Linked DNA regions of Schizosaccharomyces pombe. The gene in region 2 interacts genetically with the main gene of each other region. Each region holds a gene or a part of one and is shown on either strand. Other genes may lie near its edges.

Region 1 (3,472 bases), on a different chromosome or scaffold from region 2:
ATTCCTTGATATTTTCGGTCCATTCCTTAAACAAAATTTTTTTAAAAAAAGTAAAAGATACTAACTACTTAAATGAACAGAAAGAGCCATGGTCGAAGTTTATGGCGCCAAATATATGAGTCTTCATGTTCGTAAAAGCAACAGAGCTGCTATTCATCTTTATCGTGATACTTTGCAATTTGAGTATGTTTTTACTCGCCATCATTGAAGAGATTCTAACATTATTTTAGCGTTCAAGGGATTGAAAGCAAATATTATGCTGATGGTGAAGATGCTTATGCTATGCAGTAAGTACTTTGTTGTAAAAACTAGGTTGGGGATGGTTGCATGGATCGTTTAATGAGTATTCTTTCCAAAAACTATATACAATCTTTGTGACAATCGTTCTTTCTTTAGTTTGGTCAACTTCTGTATAATTACCTACGTTGTTTCAGACAATATATGACTGTTCAACGTCATCACAACTATCTAGGTTACTAACAATTTTTAGCAAAGATTTTTCTACTTTGAAATTCGATACACCAGAAACCAACGACGAACTAGCAAAAACCGTTCAATCTCTTGCATTGAACAACTAATAAAATATATACCGTTATTTCTAATTAGTGAATTAGGGTGTAGTGTACGATACTGCAGTTATAACTTCGTGATAGCGTATTTAACATTTGATTGTACTCGCTTACTGGTGTACTAAATATATTTCGAAATAACTCTTGTAATTTCGAGTTTTTGTTTATCACATCTAACTGCCTAATCGTGTCGTTTGGTGTTAGGTAGCCCAACACCTCGATAGTCATACTGTATTACTTGTCACCAATATCCACTGCATTTTTAGACGAATACCTATTTAAGCTGAAATGACTTCTATAGCAAAAGCTTTTGTTGAAAAGGCGATCTCAAACAATCCGGTTACTGTCTTTAGTAAATCGTTCTGTCCTTTCTGCAAAGCAGCCAAAAATACTCTTACAAAGTACTCTGCTCCGTATAAGGCTTATGAGTTAGATAAAATAGGTAAGTATGGTATTCTTCATTTGTTTAAGAGCTGAAGATTCAGTTGATCGATTGTAAAGTTTCTTGAGTTATGTCTACATAAATTAAGTATATGAAATAATAGTCTAATTGGGTTTTCGAAACCTCATAATTGTGTAATGAAACTACGAAAATTTTTGTTTCCTTCCATGATCTTGAGAAATAGCGAAACATTTCAAGTTTTTTGTTCTGCTTTTCATCCTTTTTAACTAACTTGATGTTACACTAGAAAATGGATCTGACATCCAAGGTGTGTTTAGTTAACAAACTGATTTTATCATATGCTTACCTGAGCAGCTTATTTACATGAAAAGACCAAACAGTCTACAGTACCCAGCATATTCTTTCGCAACCAATTCATTGGAGGTATGAACCCAAATTTGTTTTCCTTGACCATTAATATTCTCGTTGGTTTTTCTCTGTTGTTTATTACTAATACATTATATAAAGGCAATTCCGATTTGAACAAACTTCGTAGCTCAGGCACTTTGACGAAGATGATAGCAGAGCTTAAGGAAAACAAATCTTCAATTTTATGATTATCTTTAGGATTTATATAGCGAACGACTTTACAATATTATTTTTTAGGGAAACGAGATAACGAACTGAATGTGCAGTTGCAAAACAATTCTATTATAACATTAAAGGTATCTTTATCTTCAATCAGTTTCTAGTTTCCTGCTCACTTTGAACAGCAAGTTTTCTTCAGTTGCAAAACACACAGTGTGTGCTTTTTTTTGGAAAAAGTTATTTAGCCAGATTACTTTTCTACTTACTATATACCAAGTTTAATAGTGAAATCATTTGACTTCAATCTCATCACCTCTAGTAGTCGCCATGCATTGATTGCCACTTGGTAATATAAATGACACAACAGAAGCGACCTCACGAAGACACACACACAGTACGTACAAAGTGATGTACTTTTCCTTTGTTCACTGAACCCAAGTAATACAATTGGTTTTTCGTATATATTTATTTATATTATTTTTCACTGATCATGAATAACCCGACTTCCGACGATCGTTTACGCTTCCAACAAAAATGCCATAAATCCATGCTAAACACTGGGGCGATATTTAAAAACTGTAAATTACGAAACGGAGATGTTTTGCAAGAAGTCACTGAAAGCTTAACTGAAGACAGTGAATTCAACTACATTGTAAATGAGTCTCAGAATGTTTCTACTCGTTTAATATTTTGGAATAAATGGATTTATATTTTGTGTGCTAATACTTCATCAAATATCACAGCTACAAGGATTTTCCGTTTAGATGATGATCAGCCTTGGAATTTGGAATCTTTAGTTGCAGAGGTTTGTCCAGTTGATACAGATAATCGGCTTGCTGAACATGCTGCACGTACCGCTAAAGATACCTCGGCTAATGAGTTAAATTATGAATCATATCAGGAGAAGAGCAGAGCTCCATTTGGGTTTGCTGGACCATTTGGTGCAATGCCTGGCTCACAACCAATGTTTCCTTCTATAGGAGCAAGTGATTTGTATCCAGCAGGAATCGGAGGATCTGATATGGGCAACGATGGAGGTATGATTCCTACATTCAATCATCCTATTTTTCATCCTGAAAACAGGTCTCGAAATGAACAAGCTTCAGCAAACCGAACTAATATACCACCAGGAGCTCGTTACGATCCCACAGGCCCTGGTGATTTTCGTGGATTCGGCAGGGATGAGAGGAAACCTCAATTTCCTTTTAAAGGCCCGCGATCTCAATTTCCCGGTGAACCTGACAATGATGACTTCATGCCACCTGGTTCATCCGATATGTTTATGTAAATTGGTCACTTTATAAGTATTACAAGAAATGTTAGATGATAGGATATGTTATTTAAATAATAGTAAAAGATTTTGGTTTTGATTTTTTTTTCTTAATATGTGAATTTTAATGCTCAATTTCGGAATAAACGCATACTACTGGATATCTCTACTTCTTTAAATAATTGAGTTTTCTACTATTTGCGTACAAAGTTTAGTAAGTTCCTCTTCTAAAGAGCGCATTTATACAAGTGTTAAGAATGAAACCAGCAGGACCTAATGAAAACGTCTAGTATTTATTTTCAATAGGACGGTCTTAGCACCGAATTGATAATTTCAAAACATACACTCGGGCACATGCCTACTCATAAATTTTTTAAGCTGTTAGATGTTTATTATTTAACCTCATCTAAACTTATTTACTACTACCTGCCACTAGAATCCAAGAACTAAACAAATTTCTAACCAAAAGTATAAAAGATGTAACAAAAGGTACCGTATGCTGTTAGGAACATTATTACTCCATTTCGACAGTTGCCGGAGGCTTACTGCTAATGTCATACAATACACGATTAACACCAGACACTTCGTTGCAAATACGGGAGCTGACCAACTTCAAAAACTTAATGCTAAACCCATCGTACCAATCAGCTGTCATAAAATCAG
Region 2 (5,935 bases):
GTTGAGGAGTCAAGCCTTGAAGTCGACGACGTTCTAACATACGTCTACCCAGTTGAAACTGTTGACCATTACCCCATGTATATACTTTTCCTGTGGTAGTCAAGGCAATAATATGGTCCGTCCCTGTAGCTAATTGACAAATTTCGGGAAGTCGCATCTGCGTCGGTTCAGCTGTACGTTTTTGAGAATCGCTATACCCTAATACACCATCGGAACACTAGTATGTTAGCAAACGAAAAATGATAAATTTATAAAGCCATTTGTTCCAAAAGGGCGAAGGGAAATGATACAATGAGTCAATAGACTATAAACAACACTGCAACGATAACAGCACCTGAATTTGGAATCAAAGATCAAATGATAATTTTTCACGGCCAAAACAAATTACTTACACGGAAAGTACCCCAAGTAAAGCAGCAGCCATTGTCCGTTATTGCTGCAGTGAGATTGTCGCTACATATAACTTTTGTAACGCGTAGATGAGATAAAGCACCTTCGACCTTAGAAGGAGTTCCCTCTAGTAAATCATTGTCAACTTTGTCTCCATTCTCATCCTTTTGATCCTTAGTAAGACGACCAAGGGCATAGTCATCATTAACTCCCCAGGTGTATACGCGACCGTCATGAGAAAGGGCTGCAGAATGCATGCCGCCAACAGCCAAATCGACTACTCCTACTTTATCTGTAGATAAAATAGGATTCAAACGAGGACGATAAACGACATCCATTTCTTCTTCGCCCATACCTAGCTCGTTCATGGAACCGCTTCCAAAGACGTAAACGTTCAATCGTTCCGTAGGTAGTTCAGGTATCTTATTAATTCGCTTTGCGCTTCCTGGGACACGAACGGGTTTGGGTAGAGAGCTGACCTTTGCACGTTTAACCGGCTTTTTGCCATTTTTCATCACATCTGATTCATCTAATTCTCTTTTTTCAACCCCATTTTTTGAGACCTCCTCTCTTTTAGTTGAGCTTCTAGTACTTCTATTAGAAGTCATTATGAGTTTTAGCTGGAAGGGTTAGCTTTGCTACTAACAATCGATTTGTAATTTAAAAAAGAACAAGATGTCATCGCGTATTCCATGCAACCATCACCAGACGCAAATCCAAGAATTACATTTACTTTTTGGTACCACTTACTATAGCTTGGGTTTAAAATATTACAAAAGACAAAAAACAACGATTTATGTCGTTTTTGTTTTCGCAGAGACGTTGTTTTCAAAACTCGAACAAGTCGTTCTGTATACGGATTCTCACTATTCAGTATACTGCGAATCGTTGTTATGTGCAGCTTGTAATTAAGCATTCGTTAATTACAACATAAGCTTCGTTTAGCAAAATAAGTTATTGACTTCAGTAAAAGTTCCCAGCTTGTATTTGTTCAAATGTGTGTAAGGTGAGCTACGAATTTTTATGAAATCCTTTCTTTTTTTTTAACTTCATTTGATTTATATAAATTCGTTTAATCACGTCGAATGTTGAAAATTTGAGACCTCTTCTTATCTGAGAAAGCGGTTTCATGTATAGCTAAACAAAGATCAAATTTAAAAAAAAAGCTCATTAGTCATAAGAAGTTACAGTAAGACTCGGAGTGTCCATCGTTCAGCAAGATCGTATGCGAGAATACGAACTCAAGCAACGCGATTTTAATCTCTTCATAAATTATTTTTATGAGGACCATATACTTTTTTCCCTCATGATTTAATATTTAGTTACAATGAACATAGTCGTTAGCAGTTTCTGTTTTCTTTATTCTTTTCTGGATTTATATGTCTGTGAATTTGCCATGTCATAAATTTGGGTAACGATGTTACTCAACTTGATTCTACAAGTTTGCCTGTGAACTTGAGTATACTGTAAAATTAATTTCTCTTCTTAATCAGCTCAAATTATTAAAAGTTGTAGTTGAAATTTTCAAAATACGGCAAGTTGTCTTGTGGGGGGCGGTTTTATCTATCGGTAATGGCTCAAAGGTTAACCCTATAGAAGGGACTTGTGGTGTTTGGTGACTGGCTCAGTACCTTGCCAACAGCAGAATTGGCATCCCTTGCTCATCTTGATCAAAACTGTGTAAATACAGCCTTTTCAAAGAGTAAGTTATTATAATAAATTTACAACTAACGTAGATAGGGCTTCGGATGCTGTCCCATTGAATTGCGAGAGTGTAAACAATAACCTCGCGACTTCAGCCAGTATTGAACAAAAAACCTCTCTAGGATGTCTGTTGCATCCTTTCTCACGGGCGAAAAGCTTCTAGCAGGATCCAAGTTTGTAATTGGAAAATACAATGTTACTATCGAAAAGTACATAGCCGAAGGTATAATTTTTGGGTTGGATGGATCGAGGAGTATTACAATGAAAGATTTATTTTACTAACATTTTTCATTAGGCGGCTTTTCTCATGTATATCTTGTTCAAACAAATTCCAAAACTGATGGATCACCGATAACTGCTGTTTTGAAACGCATGTATTCTCCAGACGAGAATGCCCTGCGTTTCGTGAAAACTGAAATCGAAACGATGGTATGTTAACGTTATTGATTTTTTTGTCTAACTTATTAGGAACTACTCAAATCCAATCCCCACGTGGTTTCGTATATCGACTCCTGCATATTTCCTCTCGAGAAAGCGGGTGTCAACACTGGATTTGAAATCCTGCTTTTGATGGAATACTGCGCTGGGGGTGGATTGATAGATTTTATGAATCAAAGGTTACAAACTCGGTTGTCAGAGCATGAAGTCTTAAAAATTATTTCAGATATTGTACAGGGTGTTGCTTCCTTACACTATCTGAGACCTCCTCTCATTCATCGCGATCTGAAAGTAGAAAATGTTTTGCTAAGCTTTAATACTTTTAAATTGTGCGATTTTGGAAGTGTGACTGAGCCAATGCATGCTGCTGAAAACTCTAGCGAAATTCAAGCATTAGAAAAAAGTATCAACACATTTACTACCTACCAATATCGTGCCCCTGAGATGATTAATTTGTATTCAGGCTTAGGAATTGATGAGAAAAGTGACATGTGGGCTTTAGGAGTCTTGTTATACAAACTCTGTTACTATACAACTCCTTTTGAAACACAAGGTCCTAACGCTATATTAACAGCTTCATATTCCTTCCCCCCATTTCCTCCTTATTCACATTCTCTTAAAAATGTCATCATCGCTTTACTTCAGCCGAATCCTTGTCTTCGTCCAAATATTTTTCAGTTGATGTGTGAGATATGTCGTCTTAGAGGGACGGCTTTACCTTTTAGGGATATATACAGTGGAAGAGAGTCGTCTTTTTATGATTTGCATAACCGGAAAATAATGTCTTTGCTTCGACAAACAACAACAACACCGTTTGCTGGAAACCAAGTCATGCCGACTCCACAGGTTCAGGGCTCAAGACCTCCCCCTCCTCCTCCTATGCCAGCTCCTATCTATAACGTACCAAATGTGCCGACTGTACCAACCGTTTCCCCTAATCCATTTTTGCAACCTACTTTCTCTGGCACTTCTCAAGCTAGTGCACATCCTTCTATCCACAGCCAATCCGCAACATTTAACAACACTCAAGATGTGAACAGACAGAGTGTTTCGTCTCCGAAGGTTGTTTCATCAAGTTCTGTAACTGGCTCAGGAGCTAGTGGTCGCAAAGTCTACACACCTCAAAGTAAGAATCCCTTCCCAATATCTCAGGGAGTCACGGGAACATCTTCAAAATTTTCTGCTAGCGAGGTTACAGAAGATAATGGTTCACCAAACGCCGGACTCGATGCCGATAACGTTGACGTTGAGGAAGTTGTTAACCAGCGTTATCCTGATCTAAATGAGTTGGAGTCACAGCTTACTAGTCATACTAATATTACGACTAGTTCTCATCATAACCCTAGGGAACAAGAGATAGCAAAATTGGCTGATGATGCATTCGCTAGTTTCCGTCAGACAGCTGGTACTTCAACCGCAAATAGTACTCATACCACTGGTACTCAGGATATATCTGCCTTTGATACAAATTTTTCGGAAGGGGTTGGTAGCGTAAGGTCTTCTTTTGATTTCCCTGATCGTCCAGTATCTAGACGACCTTCAAGCACTTCTAGGTCGTCTGTTAAAATTACTGGACCTTCGAGCCCCAATGCGCGTTCTATGGCTTATGAGCAACACTCCTTTAACCTTGATGATTTGAGTAATACTAATTTTGGTTCTAATAATTCTCTTAGACATGCCAAATCATTTTCCAAATATTATTCACCTTCTCATAAAGATTCGAACAAAACTTCCAGAAACACATCTAAAGAGGGGCTCCCCTCCAGTCCTACTATGCTCTATCGTACAACATCTAATACTAGAGGTGACTATATCGTTCAACGCACACAACAGTCTGCCAATCCTTTGACAAATATCGAACCCCAAGATATGTCAAACCTTAGTACTGATATTAATGCTTCTGACGTTGTTGCCGATTCAACCAACTCTATTCTTTATCCTACTTCGACCGCGTCTTCTGTTGCCAACACTATTGCCTCCGATGTTGACGACTTTGGAACTTTTAATGGTTTACAAAGAACCGTGAGTTTACATAGTGAGCGGGCAAGTCTTGACAAGAAGCGTCCTTCTTTTCATGACAAAAATCCGTACTTTAAATTTTCTCCAAGCAAGTATGTTGACGAAGGATTGGAAGGTGAAAGTGAATTAAGAGAGCGTGTACGAAGTTATGCTAACCGCTCAAGTTCAAGTTTCCATAATCCAGATTTAACAGACACAGAAATTCAAGAGACGTCTTTTAATAACGATTTGAGGCCTGTAGCTTCTATTCAAAGTGCAGAAACCTCCAGAAGCGTAAGTGATAGACCTGCAAATTTTCCAGAGGAATTAAACGACACGTTATTTGAGCAAAAATATCCGGGAATTGTTGATTACGAGGAACCCAATTCGAATGCAGAAAAGAACGTTAATATTTGAGTTATCAACCAGACTTTACCGACTTTAAACTAATTATATTTTTTTGCAATGATTTATTTCCTTATTATATATATAAATCCTTCATGCAAATTCGGTGTTGCCTTTGAAGAGTTTTAGATGGATGATTTTTTGATATGTACCGCTTGATGTCACGGCCTGTGCTTCAAGTCTTTGGAATTTTTACTCATGTTATTCTCTGTATCTATCGTTGTTCACTAGTTCTCCAGGAATTGGAGTTCCCTATACATAACTCGGATACATAGTAGCCAAAATTCTAATATCAGTTTTTCAATATAAATTCCATTTTTTGGATTATTGTAAAAGCTTTAGTTATTGACAAGTTATTATTTATTTTCAGCGCAGAGTTTTATGTTGTCAAAGCTCGTTATTCCAATCGTGGTTAAATAATCAGAACAAGTAAACAAACAAATACCCAACTAGATAACATGGATTTGTGGAAGAAAGGAAAGCGCTTCTTTCGATTTAGTAAAGAACCAGTAATTACATGTATTAATACTAGTTATGCTGGTAAAGAAATTATATTTGATTTAATTGCCAACCCGCAAATGGAAACTAAAGATGTCAATCTTACTTTGGATTTTGATGCACCAATTTTCCACCGAAAAGCAGGAATAGACGGGCTGCTAACACTAACTAATAAGTCAAAAGTAAACGAAATTCAGCTGATCAGTATCGAAGTCTTTATAATTGGAATATGTAAACACAAGTTTCATTCGTCAACAGTCTTCCTGTGTTTAGGAACTCACATCATGGAAGGGCAATACATTGTACCAGAAGAACTCTTAGATTATGCTAAAAAAAGGGGGAAAAACCGGATAATCAGTATTCCCAATCATTCAACAGTTGACATTCCATTTCAAGTCAATTTTCCTAAACACGTCGAAGTAGGACCTGGCCGACAAATCCATTCAAGGGTAAAGGTACAGTATTTTGCATACGCGTAAGTAAAAGTGACAATGATACACGC
Region 3 (3,004 bases), 1.3 Mb from region 2:
GCAGTCCCGGCTTTTTAAATATTGAAAGCATATTAAATATACTCATATATGGGAGCATCAATACATTAAATTTATCAAAAGTTATTATTTTTTTTTGTTTTTACGTGACATAATAAAATGGAGAAAAGGAGCTCTAATCTGCTATTTAAAATATTTGTTAAAAAAAAGGCATCGACGATGAGAATTTAGCGTATTGTTCTGCATTGCGATATTTCTTTAAACATAGGGGTTCACGAAAGTACAGCCTCTGCCACCGTCTTTTAGGGGACTTTATTGTCATTGTGAAAGTACAGAAAAATAAGTGTTGGATTTTCTAGGAACTAAAAAATGGATTATCAAAACCGCGCAGGTGTTCGTTTTGGAGGAGGAGGCGTTGCTGGCTATCAAGAAACAAATGCTGCACGTAGAGAGCGTCTTCGTAAATTGGCGCTAGAAACCATTGATTTATCAAAGGTATGTTTAAAAACCACTGAATTCTGAAAATTTGAGTGCTGAATGTCAATTATAATTACCGATGAATTAATCGTGTAAAGTAAGACATGTACGTATGTTACATATTATTGAAGTTTATTAGTAGTTGCTGTTAAATTCGCTAACTATAACAACTAAAATAACAACAATAATAAATGAAAAGGATTTGCTTTCTACTTCCTTGTTTGCTGTTTTGCATGTTACACTAATTGGACATCTTTTTTTTACCCTGTCAATCACCTTGAAGCTTCCTCCTCAAACTCTTTGCGATGATATTTCTATTGCTAATCTCTTATAGGATCCATATTTGATGAAAAATCATTTAGGCACTTTTGAATGTCGTCTTTGCCTCACTACACATGCGAATGAAAACTCTTACCTTACCCATACACAAGGTAAAAAACACCAGACAAATTTAGCCAGGAGACAGGCTCTCGAAAATAAAAAGTCTCAAGAGAATGCACCACAAGTGTTGTTGGGCATTTCTCAATCCCATGTCCAGGTTAAAAAAAGTGTCGTAAAAATTGGTCGACCCGGTTATAAAGTGTCCAAAATAAGAGAAGCCGAAAGCGGAAAATTTGGCCTACGTTTCCAAATAAAGTATCCAGATATTGAAGTGAACGCTAAGCCAAGATACAGAATTATGAGTGCTTATGAACAGCGTGTTGAAGCTCCTGACCGAAAGTTTCAGTATCTGGTAGTGGCTGCTGAACCATACGAATCAATAGCCTTTAAAATTGGTATGTTGGTTTTACTGATTTTTTATTTATATTAACTTTGTTGCGCAGATGCTCACGAAATAGATCGTGCACCCGGGAAATTTTGGAGTTATTGGGATGCACCTACATATACTATCCAATTCTTTTACAACTTAACAAAAATATCGTAAATTTTGAGCTGCTATCCTAAATTTCCTTTTTATGAAACAAAATGTCTTTTCCAAATATTTCGCTCAGTCTCCCAATTTATCAATACCGCAGTTCTTTATGTGTGTAAAAGAATTCGAACTCAATCATTCTGAATTGTTTCTCCACACGTGAATTGTAGAAGAACCGTGCTAGCTAAACCTATTTTGGTGATTTATATACTTATTTTCCCAGATTTGTGGAAGTACCAATTGATAAAGTTGGCTAACTTCTACTGTATGGCGTTCGATAAATTAGCAAATGTCGCTACAGTGGACGCGATTTTTGCGATATCTAGCTCAACTTTCCTTTGGTCTACATGGGTTCTACAACGGACAATATTAAAACGGCCTAATTTTTTTTCTCCAAACCCAGTTGTTGAGAAAATGGTGCATCCAACTTTGATTACTTGGAAATTGTTTTCATTTACATCAGTATTAACTGTTTCAACCTTTACCTTCGCTTCCTGTTTGATAATGCGAACAATTGGTGTTGAAAATATAAAAGAATTTGGTCTTTATGCTCGAGAAAAGCTTAGTTTTGCAAGAGCAAAGCCAGTTAAGGATGACATTACCAGCTTTCCTAATCACAAAATTAGTATCACTTAAATTGTATACTATAAAAAGTAATTACGTGTTTATTTTACACTTTTTAAAATGTACACGGCTTCCCTCTTTCAGTCAAGTCATGATACCGTTATATGAATATTCTATAAATTAATGGGAATCCCTTTATAAAAGTCACAAAAAGCTATGCGTTTATCATAAATGATTGTATATGGCTTCATTGCAGGCAATGAACATAAGCCTCCAAATTCCTGAGTCCATGAGCTTTGGGAAAATTACTTAAGAATGAGTAATTTGTCATTTTTGAAACTTGGCTTGTAGCCAGCAACGGTACATCTTGACTCTTTTTTTTCGGTTTACAATAAGCCTAGTATGGAGATTAGTTCAGATTCGCAAAGCCGTTTGAAAATTTACCTTTTGTCAACTCCATTTTGAATAATTTTGAAATTTTTTCCAAAAACATCCACTAGTTCTTCTATTGCAAAGTTAGTAATCATTAAGGACTAATAATAGTTTTCGTTGACTTTACCGTTTGTCATGTAATACACTCTTGTACCATCACCTCTTATGTAAAAATTTTCACTTAAAATTCTGTTCTTTTTAGCTCTTAGCTGCGTCAAATCTAAACGACCATAGTCACGAAATAAAATTAATCCTCCAGGCTTTAATAATCGATACAAGTTTTCTATAGCTTGTTGCCATTGATCGGGGGACAATGCTGAAAAACAGAAAATGAGTGTAATCGCATCAATAGACGCTTCTTCAATGGATCTTAGTAAGTCTGATCCTGCCAGATCCCAAACCGAAGCACTGCAAAACTTGGCATCGTATAATGGGTTCTGTTTAACAACATCAATGGCCTTTTCTGAATAATCAACAGCAAATATTTTAAGATTTGAGTTTTTGTTTTCCTTCAAAATTGGCCAGATAGTGTTTCCAGCACCGCATCCAATTTCTAAAATTGATTTTTCTCCTGCATCTTCTTTTAGCAAGTCAAGAAGCTCTGGGAACTCTTGCGCAATCCATCTTCTATTCATGAAAAATTTTCCTTCGTTTTTTCCA
Region 4 (4,823 bases), on a different chromosome or scaffold from region 2:
AACAATGTGCACCTGCTGGCACTTTAATGGGTTCAAACTCCTTCAATGGAAGACTAACATTTTCTTCAAGAATCCGTAATTCAATTCCTTCAGGAACATTTGCTGGCAAAATGAGGACATTCTTCTTAAAGGTAAATATCTGAGATGTGCCTTCTTCGGTAAAAAGGTCTGTTTCAACTAAATCACATACGAGTGTGTTTGAATCAAACTCAGCAGATATGCTAGAGGTAAATGTGGTGCATATACTCTTTAATTCAGGATCTTCTACGGTCCTAAAGACTACGGACATGCTTAAAATGTTAGTAAGGAAGAAATTGGTAGTTGTTGGAAAATCATCGACTTGGGTACGTGTAATGTGCGAATGCCACACCATAGACGTCAACTATAAGTCAACGGGAATTTTAATAGATCAGTTCATTAAAAAATCCTTCTTAAAAATTCATAAATGATAAAAGGAGAAACGAGGTCGTAAGACCAAAAGCATATTCATTAAACTGACACGAACATATACTGTGTAAACATAAGTAGACTATTAATTCTATGAATCGGAACAATTATTTTTTTGTTCCATTTTTAAGGTTATCTCTCTCCAGAAGCACTGGTTTTATGACCTCTTCATCAAAGCGCGTTAACCATTGAGCTTGATCATCTCGTGAAGAATGGAAAAATTGGTTGAAAGCACCAGCTGCTCGTTGGTATTGCTCAAATGTGCTTGAAACCTTCTTAGAAAGTGTAGGTGCAATGTTGCCTTCATCAAAATGTTCCGTCGTAAATTGTTGGTCGACAACAACTGGTTCAGCAGAAGCGTCTGATAGCTCCATTGCGCTATTTTCCAAATCAAACTCTGGTGACTGTTGCCAAGGTAGCATGCCGATTTCTGTGTCACTGTCAACATCAGCCGCTACACCAGTTTCAATATGCAAAATTTCGAGCATTCTGGCAGTAGTACCGCCAAATATAATTAGGGTCAAGACGACAACAACCAATGTAGTCGCTCGCAGCGTTTGAGCATTTTCTCCTTCAAAGCCTGCTGCCAACGCTACTCCAACTGCACCTCGTAGGCCCGCCCAAAAAAGCATCATTTGGTAACTGTAAGGTATATGATCAATGAGGTTACCATTTCTCTGACGGTGGAATTTGTTGAGCAAATTGCTCAATGGAAACACGTTCATGTATCTAGATGCGGTAACGGCAACCTTAGGCAAGTTAGTAAAGAAAATAAGTGTAAATTGACTTACTGTGGTAATCAGAATAAAAATTGGTTTGTAAACCAAGTCAACCTGGGTAAACAGAGACATGCCAAGATAAATGAAGATAAAGTTTTCCGAGAGTTGCGCAAGAACCCGAAAAACATACTTCGTGCTAAGCTTTGCTTTATATGACATGTTGAAAAAGGCATAGTGCTTTAGCGTTATTCCACAAAACAATAAGGAAACTACGCCTGACATGTGGCAGCCGTTTGAAAAAAAGTAGGAGGTGTATGCCATGAGGAGAATAATACAAGACTCTATAGAAGGATAACGGCGTAAATAAGAATACTTTAGCAAAAGCGCAGTTATGAGCCCAATAGAAACTCCAATAAGTAAACTAATAAAGAATGTGATAATAAAAATTCCAATACCGCTGAATAAGGTAAAAAAATGTAAAGTTTTTCCTTGAAATTGCTGCAGCGTCTCAAACATTACGATTGCAACAGCATCATTAAGGATACTCTCTCCAAAAATAATAGTATACAACTTTTGATCCACCTTATACGAGTTGAAAATAGCAAGCACAGTAACTGGATCTGTAGCGGACAAAGTTGCACCCATAGACAAGGCTTCAACAAAAGTCATAGAAAGGTTTTCAAAATTAAGAAAGGAGAAAATGTAGACTAGGACTCCCAGGGTGACTGCAGATATAAAGGTACCAGCAAAGGCAAATGTTAGAATTGTACCAATGTTACGAAAGAAATTTGACTATATTGGTTAGAAAAGTATAACAAAAAGATAAAGGAAAGAAATGGAGACTTTAGTATAGCATTTCACTCAAAACTATATACCTGATGCAATTCATAACCGGAATTGAGAATAATCGGGGGAAGCAAAACATTGAAGAAATATGTGGAATGAAAAGAAACCATGTTCTGGATAATCAATCCCGGAGAAACGCGAATGATAAGCCCAACAACCATACCAACAAATACCGAAATTACAGTTTCATGAATGGCCCGGATCTTTTTGGATTGAACATAGTAACTAGTAAGCAAGGCACCAATCAAAAGGACTAGTAATATGAAAAGAGCCCAGCTTGAGTATAATTCTTGCAAAGCAGGGTCTTGACCATCATCGTCGTCGTCATCGCCATCTCGACGAAAAACTAAAACATTGTCAGAATAAAAGTTGAAAAATAATTTTGGTAACTAAACAATAAGCTATACGGAGAATAACCCAATGCTTAGAATCTGGCATTGCTTAATTAAAAGACGCCAAATTAAAGAAAAAAGAAAGGCGAAAGATTTTACATTGCTGGCTGCAAATGCAAATGTTATATAAAGAGAAAAACATCATTCGAAGTTATTCAAAGTAACGTAACGCATAACCGCTAATTCAATGCCAAAATGTATTGACGAACTGAATGCTAGTAAAGAGCGATCGAGATCCTATCCCAAAACGATTAAGCAGAAAAAAAGACTGACAAATAATGGAAGAAAAAAAAGGCAAGCATTTCGTATGGTAAAACTCCAAACTCAATTTTTTGTTCAGTTAAAAAATGCACGTTTTCAAAATGGCTGATGCTATAAATGAGTAGCTTGTGTCATTCATCCGTATAGCCTGTTATAGTATTCGATTTACTATATGTGCACCTGAAAGTAAAGAATAACGGAAACTTACCATTTATAAGAATTGTATCAAGCATATAAAGCACCAAGTGAAAGGTAAACTAACTTTTTTTTAACAACCTGGCGATGCTGAGAGTTGACTAGAGTACTCTAAAGGCAATAATAGAAAAATAATTAAGAATTGAAGCAACCGGCAGTACCTTTCTGTATATAGTAAGGACGTTAAGTGGGTTTACTAGTACAAATACTACTACCACAGCAAGATACCAGAACCTAATGCGCAGCCGAGATGTGCGGGCTAAAATGTTAAGATAACTTAAGTCAGTGTACTAAAAATATTAATAGTGACACGAAAGTAATCACTATAAGATGTTTCGAAGTAAAAAAAATGTATTTAAATTATATTATGGAGTCCCTAAACGTAGGTTAGGGAAATACCTAGCGCAAAAGGGAAGCAAGGAATCCTAGAAACTATTGAATGAAGAAGGAAGAGAAGGGAGAGATTGATATATGCAATAATAAAAATATTTCTCAAGCTTTATGATGACCTATATTAAGATTTTGAAGGAGGATTGTTTTGTTTGGAAGCAACTAGAGAGCTTTTAGGAGATTGTTGATCGATGACAATAACACGAGAGTTTTCAGGTAATTCTTCATATCCAGGATCAGATTGGGTATCCAAATATGGGTTCTTCATAGCTGGACAAGGCAGTAATGAAGGGAAAATTACGGTGGCAGTTGCGAAAAGAGCAGTCGTTCCGAACATCAAGTTCACGAGTGACCTTTTCTGTGAAGCTTTCAAAGTACGAAACATTAGAAAGAAATTTTTAAGAACAAAAAAACATGAGAAAATTATAAAAAACAGCTAAATCGTAAGAAGAAGAGACGATTGTTGAAGATGAGTTACAAAACTTCTACTAAGGTACCATATGGATAGAGAATATCCCAATGGCCAATGACCAATGAGAGTATAAGGATCTCTTCAGAAGGCACAATTCAATGTATGACTAAAACAGTAAAGACTGTGAGTTATTGATGTTTAATAAAAAATAAACATTCTTTAATTACTAATTTTTGTGTCTTTAGTTTAAATTGTCAGAAACAAAAACGAGATATTCAGAAATTAAATAAAGAAGGACCTGTATAAGCAATACAAGAGCATTTTTATGGTAACAACAAAAACATATGTCGGGTCCAACAATTAGAAAATAACAACAGTAATGCTTTGCTTTTTTCAATATTAAGGATCTGCAATTCCTTCATTTCCTTGGTAAACAAATAGCCAAAGTGTTTGGCCTTCTAATAAGCAAGCTGAAGTATATATGATTATTAAAATAGAGTCTAAAATAGGATAATTGAGTAAAATATTTGCACGGAATTTAAATAATGGCGTTGAATCGATGAATGTAAGTTTTTTAAACCTTTGTGTGCTTCAAAGAAAAAACTTCTGGATCTTAAAATTCCAACAGTTTACAATTCTTTTTTTTATGGAATTTTTTAAAGAATAATGTCATTTTCACATGCAAAACCTTTGCCATATCAAAAGGAAAATTCTCGTTAAACAGAAAAGAGTAAGGAACCAGCAGCAGAAAAACATTAAGGGTATGTTTTATTCAAGATGAAGAATTAACAAGGTATTGCAAAATTATTGGAAGTCTAGTATTTAATCAAAGTACTGCATTTGATCTTATGCACACAGTCTATCTATTACTTCCGGGTAAAATCGGATGTTTCAATTAACATTTAGTAAATATTGTAACTCATTAGCCTAAAAGAGGAGGAACAATAAAAATCTTGATATTTACATACCGGAATTCAAAATAAAAGACTTGGTGTTGAAGAGAAACGATATCTCGTTTTCCTATTCAAATGTTGAGCTCGAAGGCTATTAAAACATATTTTGAATGTTATTTAGGTAGTTTTTGCTTACTTATTGATAGATGTATGAATTCAATTAATTTATTAGCAAAACTTGTATTACATGAGAATTATGAAATCATAT

What was found.
Region 1: mutations in ppk29 (region 2) and fub1 together harm fitness less than expected from each alone (positive genetic interaction), as found in Schizosaccharomyces pombe (one large-scale study listed by BioGRID).
Region 3: mutations in ppk29 (region 2) and SPOM_SPBC21C3.06 together harm fitness less than expected from each alone (positive genetic interaction), as found in Schizosaccharomyces pombe (one large-scale study listed by BioGRID).
Region 4: mutations in ppk29 (region 2) and SPOM_SPAC15A10.06 together harm fitness more than expected from each alone (negative genetic interaction), as found in Schizosaccharomyces pombe (one large-scale study listed by BioGRID).

What each region holds. Positions count from the first base shown.
Region 1 is NC_003424.3:3,730,414-3,733,885, forward strand, and holds fub1 (PI31 proteasome inhibitor domain-containing protein), read left to right. Parts: upstream 1-1,921; 5' UTR 1,922-2,029; coding exon 2,030-2,827; 3' UTR 2,828-2,950; downstream 2,951-3,472. Other genes in the region: NatA N-acetyltransferase complex catalytic subunit Naa10, read left to right, coding at 81-183, 231-287, 491-578; glutaredoxin Grx2, read left to right, coding at 858-1,011, 1,259-1,279, 1,327-1,395, 1,480-1,568; GMP synthase Gua2, read right to left, coding at 3,324-3,472. UniProt on the Schizosaccharomyces pombe protein: May play a role in the establishment of transcriptional silencing boundaries, preventing the propagation of heterochromatic silencing.
Region 2 is NC_003423.3:2,489,831-2,495,765, forward strand, and holds ppk29 (Ark1/Prk1 family protein kinase Ppk29), read left to right. Parts: upstream 1-2,015; 5' UTR 2,016-2,092; exon of another isoform or gene 2,093-2,130; 5' UTR 2,131-2,217; coding exon 2,218-2,317; intron 2,318-2,389; coding exon 2,390-2,523; intron 2,524-2,562; coding exon 2,563-4,947; 3' UTR 4,948-5,388; downstream 5,389-5,935. Other genes in the region: pim1 (RCC1 family Ran GEF), read right to left, coding at 1-217, 393-998; SPOM_SPBC557.05 (arrestin, meiosis specific), read left to right, coding at 5,394-5,908.
Region 3 is NC_003423.3:3,805,475-3,808,478, forward strand, and holds SPOM_SPBC21C3.06 (uncharacterized protein), read left to right. Parts: upstream 1-1,615; coding exon 1,616-1,984; 3' UTR 1,985-2,239; coding exon of another isoform or gene 2,240-2,309; 3' UTR 2,310-2,356; coding exon of another isoform or gene 2,357-2,417; 3' UTR 2,418-2,444; downstream 2,445-3,004. Other genes in the region: U2 snRNP-associated protein Sap62, read left to right, coding at 328-453, 770-1,211, 1,275-1,360; trm140 (tRNA (cytosine) methyltransferase), read right to left, coding at 2,240-2,309, 2,357-2,417, 2,472-3,004.
Region 4 is NC_003424.3:3,686,857-3,691,679, reverse strand, and holds SPOM_SPAC15A10.06 (CPA1 sodium ion/proton antiporter), read right to left. Parts: upstream 3,034-4,823; 5' UTR 2,899-3,033; coding exon 2,874-2,898; intron 2,359-2,873; coding exon 2,042-2,358; intron 1,959-2,041; coding exon 1,239-1,958; exon of another isoform or gene 1,197-1,238; coding exon 555-1,196; downstream 1-554. Other genes in the region: SPOM_SPAC15A10.07 (uncharacterized protein), read right to left, coding at 1-289; cytochrome C oxidase assembly factor Coa2, read right to left, coding at 3,375-3,635.